Linked DNA regions of Lonchura striata. The protein of the gene in region 1 purifies or fractionates together with the protein of each later gene. This does not show direct contact. Links are inferred from orthologs where the notes say so. Each region holds a gene or a part of one and is shown on either strand. Other genes may lie near its edges.

Evidence for each region.
Region 2: the proteins of LZTR1 (region 1) and RIT1 purify together in Homo sapiens (affinity purification with mass spectrometry; 3 studies listed by BioGRID and IntAct, counting the BioPlex papers as one, with this or other methods). This does not show direct contact. The link is inferred for Lonchura striata from reciprocal best matches to the Homo sapiens genes LZTR1 and RIT1.

Annotation. Positions count from the first base shown.
Region 1 is NC_134632.1:344,413-352,388, reverse strand, and holds the start of LZTR1 (leucine-zipper-like transcriptional regulator 1), read left to right. Parts: upstream 1-4,790; 5' UTR 4,791-4,838; coding exon 4,839-5,014; intron 5,015-5,086; coding exon 5,087-5,149; intron 5,150-5,584; coding exon 5,585-5,641; intron 5,642-6,244; coding exon 6,245-6,324; intron 6,325-6,678; coding exon 6,679-6,787; intron 6,788-7,976. Other genes in the region: IPO9 (importin-9), read left to right, coding at 711-787, 1,404-1,514. UniProt on the Homo sapiens protein: Substrate-specific adapter of a BCR (BTB-CUL3-RBX1) E3 ubiquitin-protein ligase complex that mediates ubiquitination of Ras (K-Ras/KRAS, N-Ras/NRAS and H-Ras/HRAS).
Region 2 is NC_134635.1:2,021,539-2,028,938, forward strand, and holds the start of RIT1 (GTP-binding protein Rit1), read right to left. Parts: upstream 3,222-7,400; 5' UTR 3,191-3,221; coding exon 3,100-3,190; intron 1,995-3,099; coding exon 1,938-1,994; intron 1-1,937. Other genes in the region: KHDC4 (KH homology domain-containing protein 4), read right to left, coding at 5,956-6,155, 7,137-7,228.

The DNA.
Region 1 (7,976 bases):
CCAGCAGCAAAACAAAGGCTGCAGGCATGGGGGAGGAATTCTGCTCCGGGATTGTGAATAAGGACTTTCTGGAGAAGCCATGGCTTTGAGCAACATGGTGATTAAATTGCTGCATTATAAATAAAATCACCTGGGAGTCCACATACTTGCACTGGCTTCACACCTAGGATGTTTCTGCAGGTATTTCTTCTAAAGAAAAAATTGCTGCTCAGGGTGTAAGTGTGACCTCAGTGTGACTGTCCTAGGGATGGGTGAGCTCGTTTGTGGAGGGACCTTGAGGAACAAGTGCTGCATAGAGAGATGAGCAGGTGCATCATCTCTCAGGTTCATGTAGCCTCAGAAGGGAGAACTTTACAGGGAAACAGCGAAGGATGCTGCTCACATTAGCTCAGAACTGGCAAAGTGTCACCCTCACGTGGGATTAAGGCAGAAGATCCTGGTGCATGGAATTCCCAATCCTGCCTGTGAGTGTCCCATGTGTGCTTGACTCACCTGCATGTTCCTCAAGCCTCCACTGACCCTGGTTCTGGGCTTCAGTGGTTTCTATCACATGACCTAAAGAAGTGAATATTCTGGATACAATTTTCTTTTTTCCCAGCAGTGCTTAAACTATTTACTTTTGGATCCTTGGGTTTCAGTAGCTTAATAGAAAATTTTCTGAGATAGTCTGCTCTTTTTGATGTTAAAACCTGCTGATTTGCCTCTGACAGATGAAGATTACTATGAAGATGATGAAGAAGATGATCCAGATGCATTAAAGGACCCTCTTTACCAAATAGATCTCCAGGTGATGTTCTGGAATGAGGGGTTTTATCAGATTCCAATCATTCTCTATAAACTTTAATTTTTTAAGTGTTGTACTTTAACAAATATGTAAGCACTGGAAACACCAGTCATGAACATCCAGAAAGGCACTCTGTAAATTGAAATTACTTTGGAAAGGGCCAAATGTCCCAAGAATTTATGGAGCTATTTTTCCTTATCATTAATATTTATAACATGGAAATGTGAATGAACAAAACTCTTTGAACAGAGGGGGATGAGACTTTTCTACCTGTGAGCTTCACTGCTACTGGCAGAAGTCAGGAGTAGGTTGGAGAGTGAACATGACAGAATTTCATATTCCACTTGGAGATGCTTCCACTCAGTCAGCCCCTGTGTTACCCTTTGCTCCTGCTTTTCCCACCACCTGCAGCTGTTGAAGGGCCCTTCCCTCTGCTCCCATCCTTTTTCCTCTGCTCCAGCCCTTCCCTCTGGTTCCACTCCTCCTCCTGCACCACTCCTTTCTGTTCCCTTCAGTCCTGGGGTGTTACTTGGTGCATGTTGGGCTGTGTCTCCTGACACGTGGAAGCAGCAGGATTTCCCAGGAGGGTGGTGCTGACAGGTGTTTCTGTCCCTCCCAGGCCTATCTCACCGACTTCCTGTGCCAGTTTGCACAGCAGCCCTGCTATGCCATGTTCTCTGACCACCTCAACGACAACGAGAAGCGAGTGCTGCAGGCCATCGGGATATAGACCCACTCCAGAGACCACACCTGCCAGATCTGAACAATTGGTTCTTTTTGGCTAATTCCACGTTTTATGATAGGACATAAAACATTTTCCAGTGTCTGCCTGCCTTGTTCCAGGTTGACAATGGCCTCATTGTTTTGAGCCTCATCTTAACGCACATCTAAGGATGCTAAGGAAAGGAATCCTGAGAAAGGATCATTGCACATTGGTCTCACCACAGGAGCACTTTCATTTTCCACAGTAACTTTCCAAGAAGTTCCTAAAGATAAAAATAATGTGTCCTTAATATTTTTAAAAGGAAACTGTCTCTACCTGTAAGAGGCACTTTGAGTTTCCCACAGCACAGTTCGACAGGGAAAGGAACCGGATCACTTACGGATTGCTTGAGAAGTGGGAAGGTTGTTCCTCTTGGCTGTTCCTCCTCACCTAACACAGGGTAAATATCTTGATCCTACAACGTGACTTCTTTTATAGAACCACAGACTCTTTTCAGAGCAGCCTGGATCGGATGGAGCCTGTTCACAGGAGTCTGGAGGGGAAGCTGAGACAATGAACCTGAGTGTGTATCTTCTTTCCTGGTGTGGATGGGGCTCTGTCGCTCACGTCTCCCATGGGAGCAGTTCTTCACTAACACTTGTGTGTGCACATGCTCAGAGGAAGCCATCACTTAAATTTCTGTTCCTGTGGCCTGTGGCTATGAAAGACTGGTTTTCTGGAACAAAAGGAGCCACAGTTTTTAGGGGAAAAAAACAAACTGATTGTATTTAACAGATTTACTTAATGACAGCCACTCTAAACTACTTTGCTTTTTTCACACTCCCGTGTGTATTTTTATAGAGTGGCAAAATAGCATTTGCAAATTGATTTCCCCATGAGAACAGTGTGATCTATCTCACAACACCTCTCTGCCTTTGGTTCCCTTTCGGGGAAAATGAAATAAAACTATTAAAATGTACATTGGTATCCTTCTTATAAAACAGATTTAAAAGGAACTTGTGCTTGATTCCTGAAGTCACTTTTTAAAGACGTATTTCTCCTTATGACACGTTCTGTATGTTCTGCCAGAGGATATTGGGGTATTTCATGGGAGTCACCTGGACAGAAAGGGAGTCCTGTGCTGTATGTATCTGCTGCTTAAAATGGGCTGAGCCATTACAGTTTCCTTTTAAGAAAGGCACTTGCTGTTCCTTTGTGGAATCATTTGCTTCGACATTGTATCAAAACCTCCATAACCTGGAGTCCTTCTGTCTCTCACTGGTCTCACCTTGTGCCTGTGAGTGAGCAGAGCCAGGGGGAACCCCCCATCCCCTGCAGACTCCTCTGAGCCAATCTTAAATTTTTGAGTGCTTAAGTATATGAGAAGCAGAGTTTGAAGCCTGATTTTTGTGTCTAATAAGGTACAAGCTCTTCCCATGCCATTGAGTCTCAGTGTCTTTCTTCCCTGGGGATTCTCTGGTCTGTCGGAATATGTAACAAACAGGGTGCCCTGACCCTCCTGTCATACTCAGTAGGAGTTTGGTTCTGAGGCCTTTGCTCTCAGCTTCCACTGAAAGGAACAAGTTAAAGCAAACAGTGCGGTCTTGAAACTACCAAGAAGCTCATGGCTGCAGTGGTGTGTCCACATGGCTGTTCCAGAAGGATCAGGAATGTCCTCAGAAGAATTGGTCCCAGCTCTGGGAAGAGGCAGGACCAGCTTTTTTTGCCGTGTGTGTCAGCAGCAGAGGCACAAACCCAGCCATCCATACTTGCACAAAAGTGGATGTCAATGTCTGGAAGCATTGAGGTGTGTTCGGGGTGTCAGGAGTAAACAGCACACTGAAGGCTGGTTAGCCTGGGCTCACAGAGGTGCTGCTTGGGGGTTCGTGTGCACTCCAGTGGGAGCTGGAATACTGTGCATCAGGGGGGGCTTTAGCCAGGGCAGAGGGTGAATTTAAACAAGTCCATGAAAAATGAGGCTGACACTGAACTGAAACATCTAAAGGTGCCTGTGTCATTGTAAGTTCCAAAAGATGGATGGGTCAGTGCCATATTCCTGCTGGAACTCATCCATATTTTGGGTAAAACCAGCTTTGATTTGCAGTTATCAGTGTTTTTTTTAAACGAGTGTGAGAAGGGAAGGATGGGGGGTAAGTGGCATTGTCTCTACGTCTAAAGATTACTTACCTGAGTTTCCCACAGTACAGGTGGACAGAACAAAGGCACTGTGTCTTTTACAGATTGCTTGAGAAGTGGGAAGGCTGTTCCTCTTGGCTGAACTGGTGCTCTGCACTGTCCCCCCTCCATCCTCTGCCAGATGCAGCCTGAGCTGGCTGGGCATGGTGCTGCTGCATGGCAGCTGAAGCTTGGGACCAGCCCGAGGGGCAGGACTGGCACAGGGATGGTGTGGTTGTGCAGCAACCCTCACCGTGTGCAGGGTGGTCTTGGCAAGAAATGCTGTGACTCGAGCAATCCCTAGGAAGAGGCTGGATACGAACTGAGAGAGTGCACAAGGGAGATGGTTTGAGGGGCCTCAGCTGAGTCCTGCTGGTGCTCATGACTTTGTTGCTTTTCTGCTTAACCAGTCATCTTTCCTAAAAAAATTCTGAAGCTCACTCTGTGATGTGTCTTTATACAAGGATTGTGTTTGCTGGAGGGATTGTGCGAAAAAACCTCTGACAAGTAGCACAGTGATGGCTCAGGATGGAAACTGCTGGACTCTGAAGCAGTGTCTGAGCTCTGGTTTTGAGGCGCAGCACCATTGTGCTGTCTGGTGTTGCAATAATAGTCATAGAGGTGACTGACACCGTTTTAAGAAACATAAACTGAGGAAAACAAAGGATGGGCTGTGGGCTTTGCACAGCCGAGGGCACATGCCACTGCTGCCGTGGTGCCTGGCACGCACATCCCGCTCGGGACTCCTGTGGGTATGAGCTGACCATGTTTGCTCCCTGTTTACTCCGGAGCGCACCGCGGAGCTCCGGCCCTCACGGACCGTGTTAAAACAGCGACCGCCAGCTCGGACCCTGGAGCGAGACTTTATGCATTTTCATCAGTACTGTTCTTTTTTGGGAGTGGAGCTTTTTGAATTAACAAATCAACTCTAGTAGTGTAGCATCCCGCCCGGCTTCCCGCCCTTCAGCGCCCGTACCGGCTGGCTCGGGCCGCCCGCCCCTCTAGCGGTGCATGCTGGGGGCTGTAGTCCAGGGCTCGGCAGCTGCCAGGCCGCTGCGCCGGGCGCGGGGCACGCCGGGAGTTGTGGTCTGGCTGCTGGACCGCAGGCGCGCCGGAAGGCGGGCGCGCGGGGCGGGGCATGCCGGGAGCTGTAGTCTAAGGGGGCAGGCGTGGGCCATGGCGGCGGCCGCGGCCCCGGCGGGCGGCGCGGGGCGCTCGAAGGTGGCCCCGAGCGTGGACTTCGACCACAGCTGCTCGGACAGCGTCGAGTACTTAACCCTCAACTTCGGGCCCTTCGAGACCGTGCACCGCTGGCGCCGCCTCCCACCCTGCGACGAGTTCGTGGGGGCCCGGTGAGCTAGGGAGCGGACGGGATGGTTGGAGGGGGGCTCCCGGCGCCTCTGACCTGTCCGTGCCGCCCGCAGGCGCAGCAAACACACTGTGGTGGCTTATCGGGATGCGATCTACGTGTTCGGCGGGGACAACGGGTAAGGGGAGCCGGCAGCGCCGGGGTTAAGGGGAGGTGGGTGTGAGGGGAGATGGGTGTGAGGGGAACGGAGTTGTGAGGGGAGATGGGTGTGAGGGGAGATGGGTGTGAGGGGTGGTGGGTGTGTGAGGGGAGATGGGTGTGAGGGGTGGTGGGTGTGTGAGGGGAGATGGGTGTGAGGGGTGTGAGAGGAGGTGAGTGTGAGGGGAGATGGGTGTGAGGGGAACGGAGTTGTGAGGGGAGGTGGGTGTGAGGGGTGTGAGGGGAGGTGGGTGTGAGGGGAGATGGGTGTGAGGGGTGTGAGAGGAGGTGAGTGTGAGGGGAGATGGGTGTGAGGGGTGGTGGGTGTGTGAGGGGAGATGGGTGTGAGGGGTCCGTGGCCGCCCCTGTCCGGCCCCCGGCCTGGCTCAGCTGCTTCTCCCGTCCCTCCCCGCAGGAAGACGATGCTGAACGACCTGCTGCGCTTCGACGTGAAGGACTGCTCGTGGTGCAGGTGGGCAGCGCGGCCCCTCGCCGTCCCTGGTCGCTGGCAGGACCGGGACACGCCGTGGCTTCCCTCAGCACCTTGGGCTGGGTGTAAAAGTTTGTGCCGCTACCTGAGTACCCGAGAGGAAATGTCACCTCCTCCCAGCACTGTCACAGCTGCTCCCTGCCAGCCTGCTGTGTGCTGGGCCATCGGGGTTGTCGATCCTGCCCGAGGGGAGGCCGGGCAGCACAGCGAGGGAGGACCAGGGTCATTCTGTTCCTGCAGCTTGTGGGAGGGCAGAGGGACTGGGTGTGCTGCACCTCTCGGGCCAGGGAAGGTGCCAGGGGTCCTCACACCTTTCTTGGCTCCTTTGCTCTGCAGTAGGCAGCCTGTCTTATCTCACTTGTGTCTCACTTTCCAGCTCTGCCAAATAGATTTCAGCAGCAGCATGTTCGTAACCATTTATTTCTGTTCTATAAAATCTTAGTGCAATCAACTATCCAAAACCAGTGAAACACTCAGGAGCAAAAGAATAATTTCTAATAGTTGTTTCTTTTCTTAGTCTGCACATTAGCTCTGTGCCCAAAGCACAACCAGTGTGTTTGACTGCTGCTGTTGTGACTTGTGCAGGGCTTTCACGACGGGGACGCCGCCGGCACCACGGTACCACCACTCCGCTGTGGTCTACGGGAGCAGCATGTTCGTTTTTGGTAAGGCAGCAGCAGGCTGTAGTACAAGTGGTAGATGTGCTGCTGTACTGGTTTGGAAAAAGAATGAGAGATCTTTAGGAGGTGTCAGAGGTCTCATTCAGTAGCAAATCCAGTATTTTTCATAGCTGTGATTTCAACTTTAGTTTGGAAAGATGGCGCTGTTCTGTTTAAAGTAAAGACTATTGAAGCTCATTGCCATAGTGATTCTTTAGGAGGAGTGGAAGAGTAGTCTCCTTCTGTAGTAGTCTGTTAGCCAAACATTTCATGCAATCTAAAGTTTCTCCTAATGCAACGCCTGGGAGTGTGTGTGTGTGCTCCGTTGCCTGGGAGGCTAATGGAATTGTTGTTGTCCAGGTGGTTATACTGGAGATATCTATTCCAATTCAAACCTGAAGAATAAAAACGACCTCTTTGAGTATAAGTTTGCAACTGGGCAGTGGACAGAGTGGAAGACTGAGGGAAGGTAAGAGCTGTATCATTGCCTTCTGCTTCGGGGGACTGAGGGTAGCTTGGCATCATTTCACATAGCAGTCAGACCTACTTACAGTGCTCATGTTAGGCCTGCAGCATGATTGCTGCTCTGCTTTCTCAATTAACATTTTTTGGTTCTACAGGAGTTTTTTTGGAAGGCCTCCATTCCAGAATGCACTGTAATGGAAATTCATCCAAATTCCACTCTTCATGTTTCAGGTCCATGACAGAAGGAATGGGGGCAAAAGGAGTTGGGTTTTTTCCTGAATTGTTTCAGTTTCAAGGATAGCTTGGAAATTGTTGATCCCTCATGAAGAAAAGGGATCCTGAGAGTCAGCGTTCCAAGGAAAATCAGAATCACTAAGACATTGCTTCCTAACGTTGACTCTGTGCACATTTCAGAATGCCATTTCTGACAATGATTGTGATCCAACTCTTTAGTGTTTATTACAAGGTCATGAACAGGATAAGGGGGAATGGCCTTATACTGGCAGAGCAAGGTTAGATGGGATATTGGGAGGGAAGGCTTGGCTGTGAGGTTGGTGAGGCCCTGGCACAGGTTGCCTGGAGCAGCTGTGGCTGCCCCATCCCTGGAAGTGTCCAAGGTCAGGTTAGATGGGACTTGGAGCAACCTGGGCTAGTGGAAGGTATCCCTGCCCATGACAGGGAGTGGGACTGGATGGGCTTTAAGGTCTCTTTCTACCCCAGACATTTCTGTGTTTACCACTCCCCAGTAGGGGTCATGTGGTGTCTTTACCTGCAGTCCTACACATAGCTGAAGTTTCTGGAATGCTGTTTTCAGTGGGGAGAGAGAAGGGAACTTTTGTTATTGTGATTTGTGGAGAGGGGTGAGGAATGTCCCATCCGTTCTTGTGTTACTGTTGCTCACCTCTGATGAGCACGCTATATTTCAGAACAGAGACTCTATTAGTAATATCTCTTTCTGGTTTATTCTGGTAACTTGGGACATTTTGGAGAGTAATTCTTACTCAGTTTATTCACATTTTGCTTGTTGTTCCCCAGAGTTAATGTTCAAGCTTCACAATGACCTCAGATAAGCCAACAGATGCCTTGTGGCATCACAGGTTTGTTCAGCCTGGCTGATTTAGTTAAAACAACAAAGATTGTGGAAGAGAAATCATAGGTTGGATCTTTCATTGTCGGCACTACATCTTGAATGA
Region 2 (7,400 bases), on another chromosome or scaffold:
TCATCTATATATGATATATAGATGAAACATATATAATATGTTTCATCTATATATGATATATAGATGAAACATATATGTTTCATTCATAAATGTTATACAGGTAAATATAATTATATATGTAAATATTATTTATTATAAACACCATATAAAAATGATCTATCAATATATAAATACAAAAATATTCTGTCCCTCTCAGTCAGCACTCCCACACTTTAGGAACTCATTCTCAGCAAGAATTTGGCTTTTTTACCCTCACTTTTCCTTCCACTGGGTAACTGTTGGTTCAGGTTTCTCCTGGAGATGCTGCTGAGGTTCTACAGCACCAGAGTGAGTCGTTGAGCACTTCCACCCCTCTCAATTTCTCAAACACAGAGAACAATTTGGCCTGACAAGTGAACAGCAAAGAGCTGATCACAGCACAGAGTCTGGATTTTGTGAGCAGACAACTAAAAATGGCTCAGCAGCAGTTTCAAGCCCTGGCTGCCAACAGACAGACACAGGGCATGCCCTGAGTGGATGGATGGAAAATGAGTAAAGAACTGAAACTCAGGATTCACACCCCACTCTCAGAAGCCTGAAATCACAGAAGCACCGAGAGGGTTCAGGCTGGAAGGGAGCACAGCAGATCAGATCACCTGCAGGGCACGGGGCACGGGGCACGGGGCGGTGGCCAGGCGGCTCTGGACGCTCCGCAGCCTCTCCGGGCTCTGCCCAGGGCTGGCACTGCCCAGGGCAGCAGTTCTGCCTCCTGGGCAGGGGCAGCTCCTGGGCTCGGCCCTGCCCGGGGCTCTGGGGCAGCGCTGGGGCTGGGGCAGGGCCTGGGGACACAGGGATGGACTGGGATGGACTGGGATGGACTGGGATGGACTGGGACAGACTGGGATGGACTGGGACGGACTGGGACGGACTGGGACGGACTGGGACAGACTGGGATGGACTGGGACGGACTGGGACGGACTGGGATGGACTGGGATGGACTGGGACGGACTGGGATGGACTGGGACGGACTGGGATGGACTGGGATGGACAGGGAATGACTGGGATGAACAGGGACAGACTGGGATGGACTGGGACAGACAGGGACGGACTGGGACGGACTGGGATGGACTGGGACAGACTGGGATGGACAGGGACGGACTGGGATGGACTGGGACGGACTGGGACGGACTGGGACGGACTGGGACGGACTGGGATGGACAGGGAGAGCCAGGGACACACAGGGACAGCCAGGGATGGACAGGGACACACAGGACAGCCAGGGACACTCATGGACATCCATGGAAACCCAGAGACATCCAGAGACAGCCAAGGACACCCAGAGAGAGACAGGGACAGCCAGAGACACACAGGGACAACACCCACGGAAATCCAGACACACCCAGGGACACCCAGGGACATCCACGGAAACCCAGGGACACACAGAGACACCTGAGGTCACCTAGGAACACCCACAGTAACCCAGAGACACCCAGGGACAGACAGGGACACTCAGAGACACCCAGGGACACTCAGGGACACACAGGGACACCCAGGGACACTCAGGGACAGCCAGAGACACCCAGGGACACCCAGGGATATCGGGGACACCCAGGGCCATTGAGGGCTGAGGCCCCTCTCAGCTGGGGCTCCTCTCCAGGCTGAGCAGCCCCAGCTCCCTCAGCCTTTCCTGGGCAGGGACCCTCCAGGCCCTTCAGCATCTTTGAGCCCCTCCAGGAGCTCCCTGACCTGCTGTGCTCAGGGTCCCAGAGCTGGACACGGCACTCCAGAGGCTCAGCACTCCCTGGATCCCTCCCTGACCTGCTGGGAGTGCTCGTCCTGATGAGGGATCAAAGATCCATCTCCAGGCAGATTTAGAGATATCTTACAATTGAATATTTTAAAGCAATGGACTGCACTGAACGAACAGAACGAGTGAACAGAAAAGACGTTTTCCTCACCGATGGTGGGGTCGTGGTCCTCTGGGAAGCGGTGACTGATGAACTGCATGGTCATGGCTGCAAGAAGAAAGCGGGGAAGAACTGAGCAGCCCAGCTCACAGCTGATCGCATGCTTACCCCGCAGCCACGGCACAGAACCGGCCCGGGGATGCTCCACCCGCACCCAGGCGGGACCAGCTCCGGGACACCGGCAGGCGGGGCCCGGGACAGCCCGGGAAGGCCCGGGACAGCCCGGGAGGGGTCGGGACAGCCCGGAGAAGACATCCTGGGATGGGCCGGGACATGCCGGGATGGGCCGGGACATCTCGGGAAGAGCCGAGACAACCTGGCGGGGACACGCCAGGAGGGACGGGGAGGGGTCGGGATGGCTCGGGACAGCCCGGGAAGGGTCGGGATATCTCGGGATGGGTCAGGACACCCCGGTGGGACACCCTGGGAGGATCGGGGATGGCTCGGGAGGAGCCGGGACACGGGGAGGTGCCGGGATATCTCGGGATGGGCCGGGACAGCTCGGGAGGGGACACCCGGGAGGGTCGGGACAGCCCGGGAGGAGCCGGGATGTCCCAAGAGGAGCCGGGACAGCCCAGCAGGGACACCCCGGGAGGATCGGGACACCCCGGGATGAGCCGGGACATCTCGGGAGGAGCCGGGACAGCCCGGCGGGGATAGCCCGGGAGGATTGGGGAGGGGTTGGGACACCCCGGGATGGGCCGGGACAGCCCGGAGGGGACAGCCTGGGTTGGCTCGGGACAGCTCGGGAGGAGCCGGGACATCCCGGGATGGCTCGGGACAGCCCGGAGGGGACACCCCGGGAGGGACGGGAAGGGGCCGGGATATCCCGGGATGGCTCGGGACAGCTCGGGAGGAGCCAGGATGTCCCAAGAGGAGCCGGGACATCCCGGGATGGGCCGGGACAGCCCGGCGGGGTCACCCCGGAAGGGACGGGGATGGCTCGGGACAGCCCGGGATGGGCCGGGACAGCCCGGCGGAGACATCCCGGGAGGCTCGGGAGGGGCCGGCCCCTCTCGGGAGCAGCGGCGCCGCGCCCAGACCGGGGCCGTGGTGCGGAGCGCGGCTCGCCCCGGCCCGGCCCGGCTCGGCTCGCCCCGGCCCGGCTCGGCTCGGCCCGGCCCGGCTCGGCCCGGCCCGGCCCCGCGCTCACCGCTCTTGCCGACGCCGCCCGCGCCCAGCATCACCAGTTTGTACTCCCGGGACTGGCCCGCGCCGCCGCCCGGGCGGGCTGCGGGCTCCATCGCCGGCCCCTCCGCGCCGCCCGGCCCCGCTCGCAGCGCCGCCAAAATGGCGGCGGCGCCTCCGCCCTCAGCGCGCGGGCCGGCCCGGCGACGGCGGCCCGGCGGGGACAGCGCGGGACAGAGCGGGACAGCGCGGGACACAACCGGGACAGCGCGGGATGGCACGGGACACAACCGGGACAGAGCGGGACAGAGCGGGACAGCGCGGGACACAACCGGGACAGCGCGGGATGGCACGGGACACAACCGGGACAGAGCGGGACAGAGCGGGACAGCGCGGGACACAACCGGGACAGCGCGGGATGGCACGGGACACAACCGGGACAGAGCGGGACAGAGCGGGACAGCGCGGGACACAACCGGGACAGCGCGGGATGGCACGGGACACAACCGGGACAGAGCGGGACAGAGCGGGACGGGACAGAGCGGGACAGAACCGGGACAGCGCGGGACAGAGCGGGACGAACCGGCGGGGACAGCGCGGGACGGGACAGAGCGGGACAGAACCGGGACACAACCGGGACAGCGCGGGACGGGGCGGGACGGGACGGGACGGAGCGGGACGGAACGGGACAGCGCGGGACGGCACGGGACGAACCGGGACAGCGCGGGACGGGACAGAGCGGGACAGAACCGGGACACAACCGGGACAGCGCGGGACGGCGCGGGACGGAGCGGGACGGGACAGAGCGGGACAGAGCGGGACGGAGCGGGACAGAACCCGGACACAACCGGGACAGAACCGGGACAGAGCGGGACGGGACGGGACAGAGCGGGACAGAACCGGGACACAACCGGGACAGAACCGGGACAGCGCGGGACAGCGCGGGACGAACCGGGACAGCGCGGGACGGGACAGAGCGGGACAGAACCGGGACACAACCGGGACAGCGCGGGACGGGACAGAGCGGGACAGAACCGGGACACAACCGGGACAGCGCGGGACGGCGCGGGACGGGACGGGACAGCGCGGGATGGCACGGGACACAACCGGGACAGAGCGGGACGGCACAGGACAGAACCGGGACAGCGCGGGATGGAACGGGACAGAGCGTGGGACAAAATCGGGACAGCGCGGGACGGAACCGGGACAGAACGGGACAGCGTGGGACGGAACCGGGACAGAACCGGGACAGCGCGGGACAGAACCGGGACAGCGCGGGACGGAACCGGGACAGAACGGGACAGCGCAGGACACAACTGGGACACAACCGGGACATGGCGGGAGCGACGGCAGCCCGGTGGGGACAGCGCACGACGGGACAGAACCGGGACACGGCGGGGACACATCGGGACGGGACAGAACCGGGACACAACTGGAACATGGTGGGGATACACCAGGACAGAACCGGGACAGCACGGGGATACACCGGGACACAGCGGGGACAGCACAGAACAGGACGGGGAAACAACGGGATACACCGGGACATGGCAGGGACAGGACGGGACACACCGGGACACACCGGGACACCCTCCGGCCCCGCACCCCCTCGACTCCCGTCCCGCTCCCGTTCCAGCCTGCGACTCCTTCCCCGTCCCCAATCCCCAGGGACCCCCCAACACCGACCCCCAGCCCGGGCCCCCCGGGGCTCCCCCGATCCTGGGGCACCCCGAGCCCGGATCCCCTCCCCGCCCCGGGGCTCTCCCAGCCCAGCGTCTCCCTCCTCCAAACCCCACTCCAACCTCAAAGCAGCGGCAGGGAGCAGAATATTTATACATTTATTTATAACCAAAGTACGGTTCTAATTATTTACAACGCGTCGGAAAGCTGAGGTTTGTACAGGCGAGCCATCCCTCCTCAAAACATGTCCCAAAAACTGCCCCGTGCCTTGGAGCAGCCCCCTTGGAGCAGCCCCTGCTCTGTTCAAGAGTTCTGTCTGCACCAGCCCACCCCCCGGTGCAGTTTGTGTCCAAAACAGCGCAGAAACAACCCAAAAATTCATTTTCATACTCAAAATTCTTCTGCACGTGAGGCAGGAGCTGCTGCCTTTTGGGAAACCACCGTGGAACCTTCTGGCTCTGGTGGAATCCAGTGAATGAGGGAAGAGATGGGGGCGAGCCTCTGGAAAAGGAATTGCTGCTGGGTTGGTTTGAGTCCTGGGGTGACTGGAAATAATTCAGCTCTAGGGCTGTAGTGCCAAGTCCACCTGGAGCGACGTGGACCTATCCAAAAACCTGAGCATCCCCCCGCCCCAACACCTGGCTAGAACGAGAACTCGTGGGATTGGTGAAATCACGTCTCAAAATAAAACCAAGCGGAGTGACAGATGTTTGAAATAAAAACGAGGCTTTTCCAAATGTGATGCTCAAGTTTTTCGCGGCTGCTGGTTGGGTGTTCCTTCCCTCTGGTGAAAGTCCAAAATTGAGGCTGAGTCACCAGTAGATCACTGGGGCTGACAGCAGAAGCACTCCAAAAATGCAAATGCAGAGTGAAGTCAGTGTCACTGACTCTTCCCTTTCAGTTATCTGGGAGAAATGAAAAATACGGCCCAAGAGGCTTCCCTGGTTCCTCTTTACAGCACTTCTCCCTTGCACAAGGGATTAGCCCAGTCAGGATGCTATTCCAAATACTCCTTTTTAAAATTAACAACCACACTGCCAAAATGAGGATTTAAAAAACAATGGAGCCCTTCCAAGGGGAAATTGGCTTCTGCAAATGTAAAAACAACACGTCTTTGCCAAGTCCATTGTGGAATACACATGCATTATTGCTAGAGGGGGGAAAAAACCAGATGAATGAAAACTCTTGTGCAGTTTGTTTTTTTTTAGGGTGCCATCCAGAAAGGCATCTGTTGTTTAGCTCGCTGTTGTGAGGATGGGTACTGGTACCCCAAACTCCAGCCCTGTGAAAAAGTACTTGCGTTTTTATGGCCACCGTGCTCCTCCTCTTCATCTGATGAATCTCCAGCATAGGCCACTAATCCAAAGCCCTTCTCTGCAGTTTTCATCTTCTTGGCTTGATGATCTAGGAGGGGAAAACAAAACAAGCCCCGCCCCAGCCCCCCCGAGAAGGAAAAAAATAAAAACAAAACGAACAAAACAAAAAAAAAAGAGATAAAATGCCCCAAAAACGAGTTAATAATAATAAAAAAAGATGTTAATTGTAAATTGTTAGTTGGACACCATTTTGAGGTCACAAGGCCAATGGTCATCCAAGGTCGAAGGCCACAGGAAACAGCACCAGCAACAGCCATGTGATCCATCAGAACCATGTAAGAGAACAGAGAAACAAGAAAGAAACACACAGAAAAGGTAAAGTTAGCAAATGGCTCTCAGTGAGGGCAATTTCACCCGTTAAAGAGATCAACATGTAAAGAAAAAGTAGAAATTTTGTTCAAAAGGAAGCTAACAGGAGAGCAAGACTGCAGAAGAGCTAAGGTTAACCAGGCTGGGTGATGTCCCTGCAGAGCTGAAAGCCTGCAGATTTCAACAGCTGCAAGTCTGACCGAGTTCAAACCCTTGCTGAGTGACAGAAAAGATGAAATCCTGACAGAAATCCTGACAGCACTTGTGTTGTCTGCTCTCAGAAATGTGTGTAAATCCCCACCCGAGCAGAATTCAGAATTCCCCCCACGTTCCTCAGTGCCTCTGAGGCAGCTGCTCACAATGCAAAGCCACAGCACAACCACATTCTGTGCTGCCTGACGGGTTAAATCTCCCTGTTTTTAGTCCCTCACTTTAATCAAACTCCTCTGATTTCACAGATATTTATTAAAGCTTGGAGAAGCAACCTGTGTGTATAACCACAGCAAGCACCAGTGATTTTCGAGTGATTTTCGAGTGATTTTAGAGCAGTGCAGTGTCACCTGCTTTGCACTTTGACACAGAACAGCCAAAAAAACCCCACTTGTTAAAACCAGCAGCATTTGGGAGAGGAAAATGGACTTAGAAAGGGGTTTGGGAAAGGAAACTGGACTTGCAAGGGCATTTGACCCATTGCACTCACCATGGTTGCCTGGTAAAGACCCCGCACCTTTTCTTTCTTCCGATTCCGATTTCATTCCAGTGACAGGAAAAGCTGGCGGAGGCATCAACTGCCTGTTCAAAACAAGATTTTTTGTTCTTTTTTTAAACCAAGCTAAGAGCCAAAAGGAATAAAAACACAATTCCTAACTCAGAGCTTGGCGTGAGGAGTTGGATTTTAAATTCCCTGATTCATCCAGTGACTGTGACAGGAATGGGTGATGGGTTCTACCTGGAGCTCTCCCAG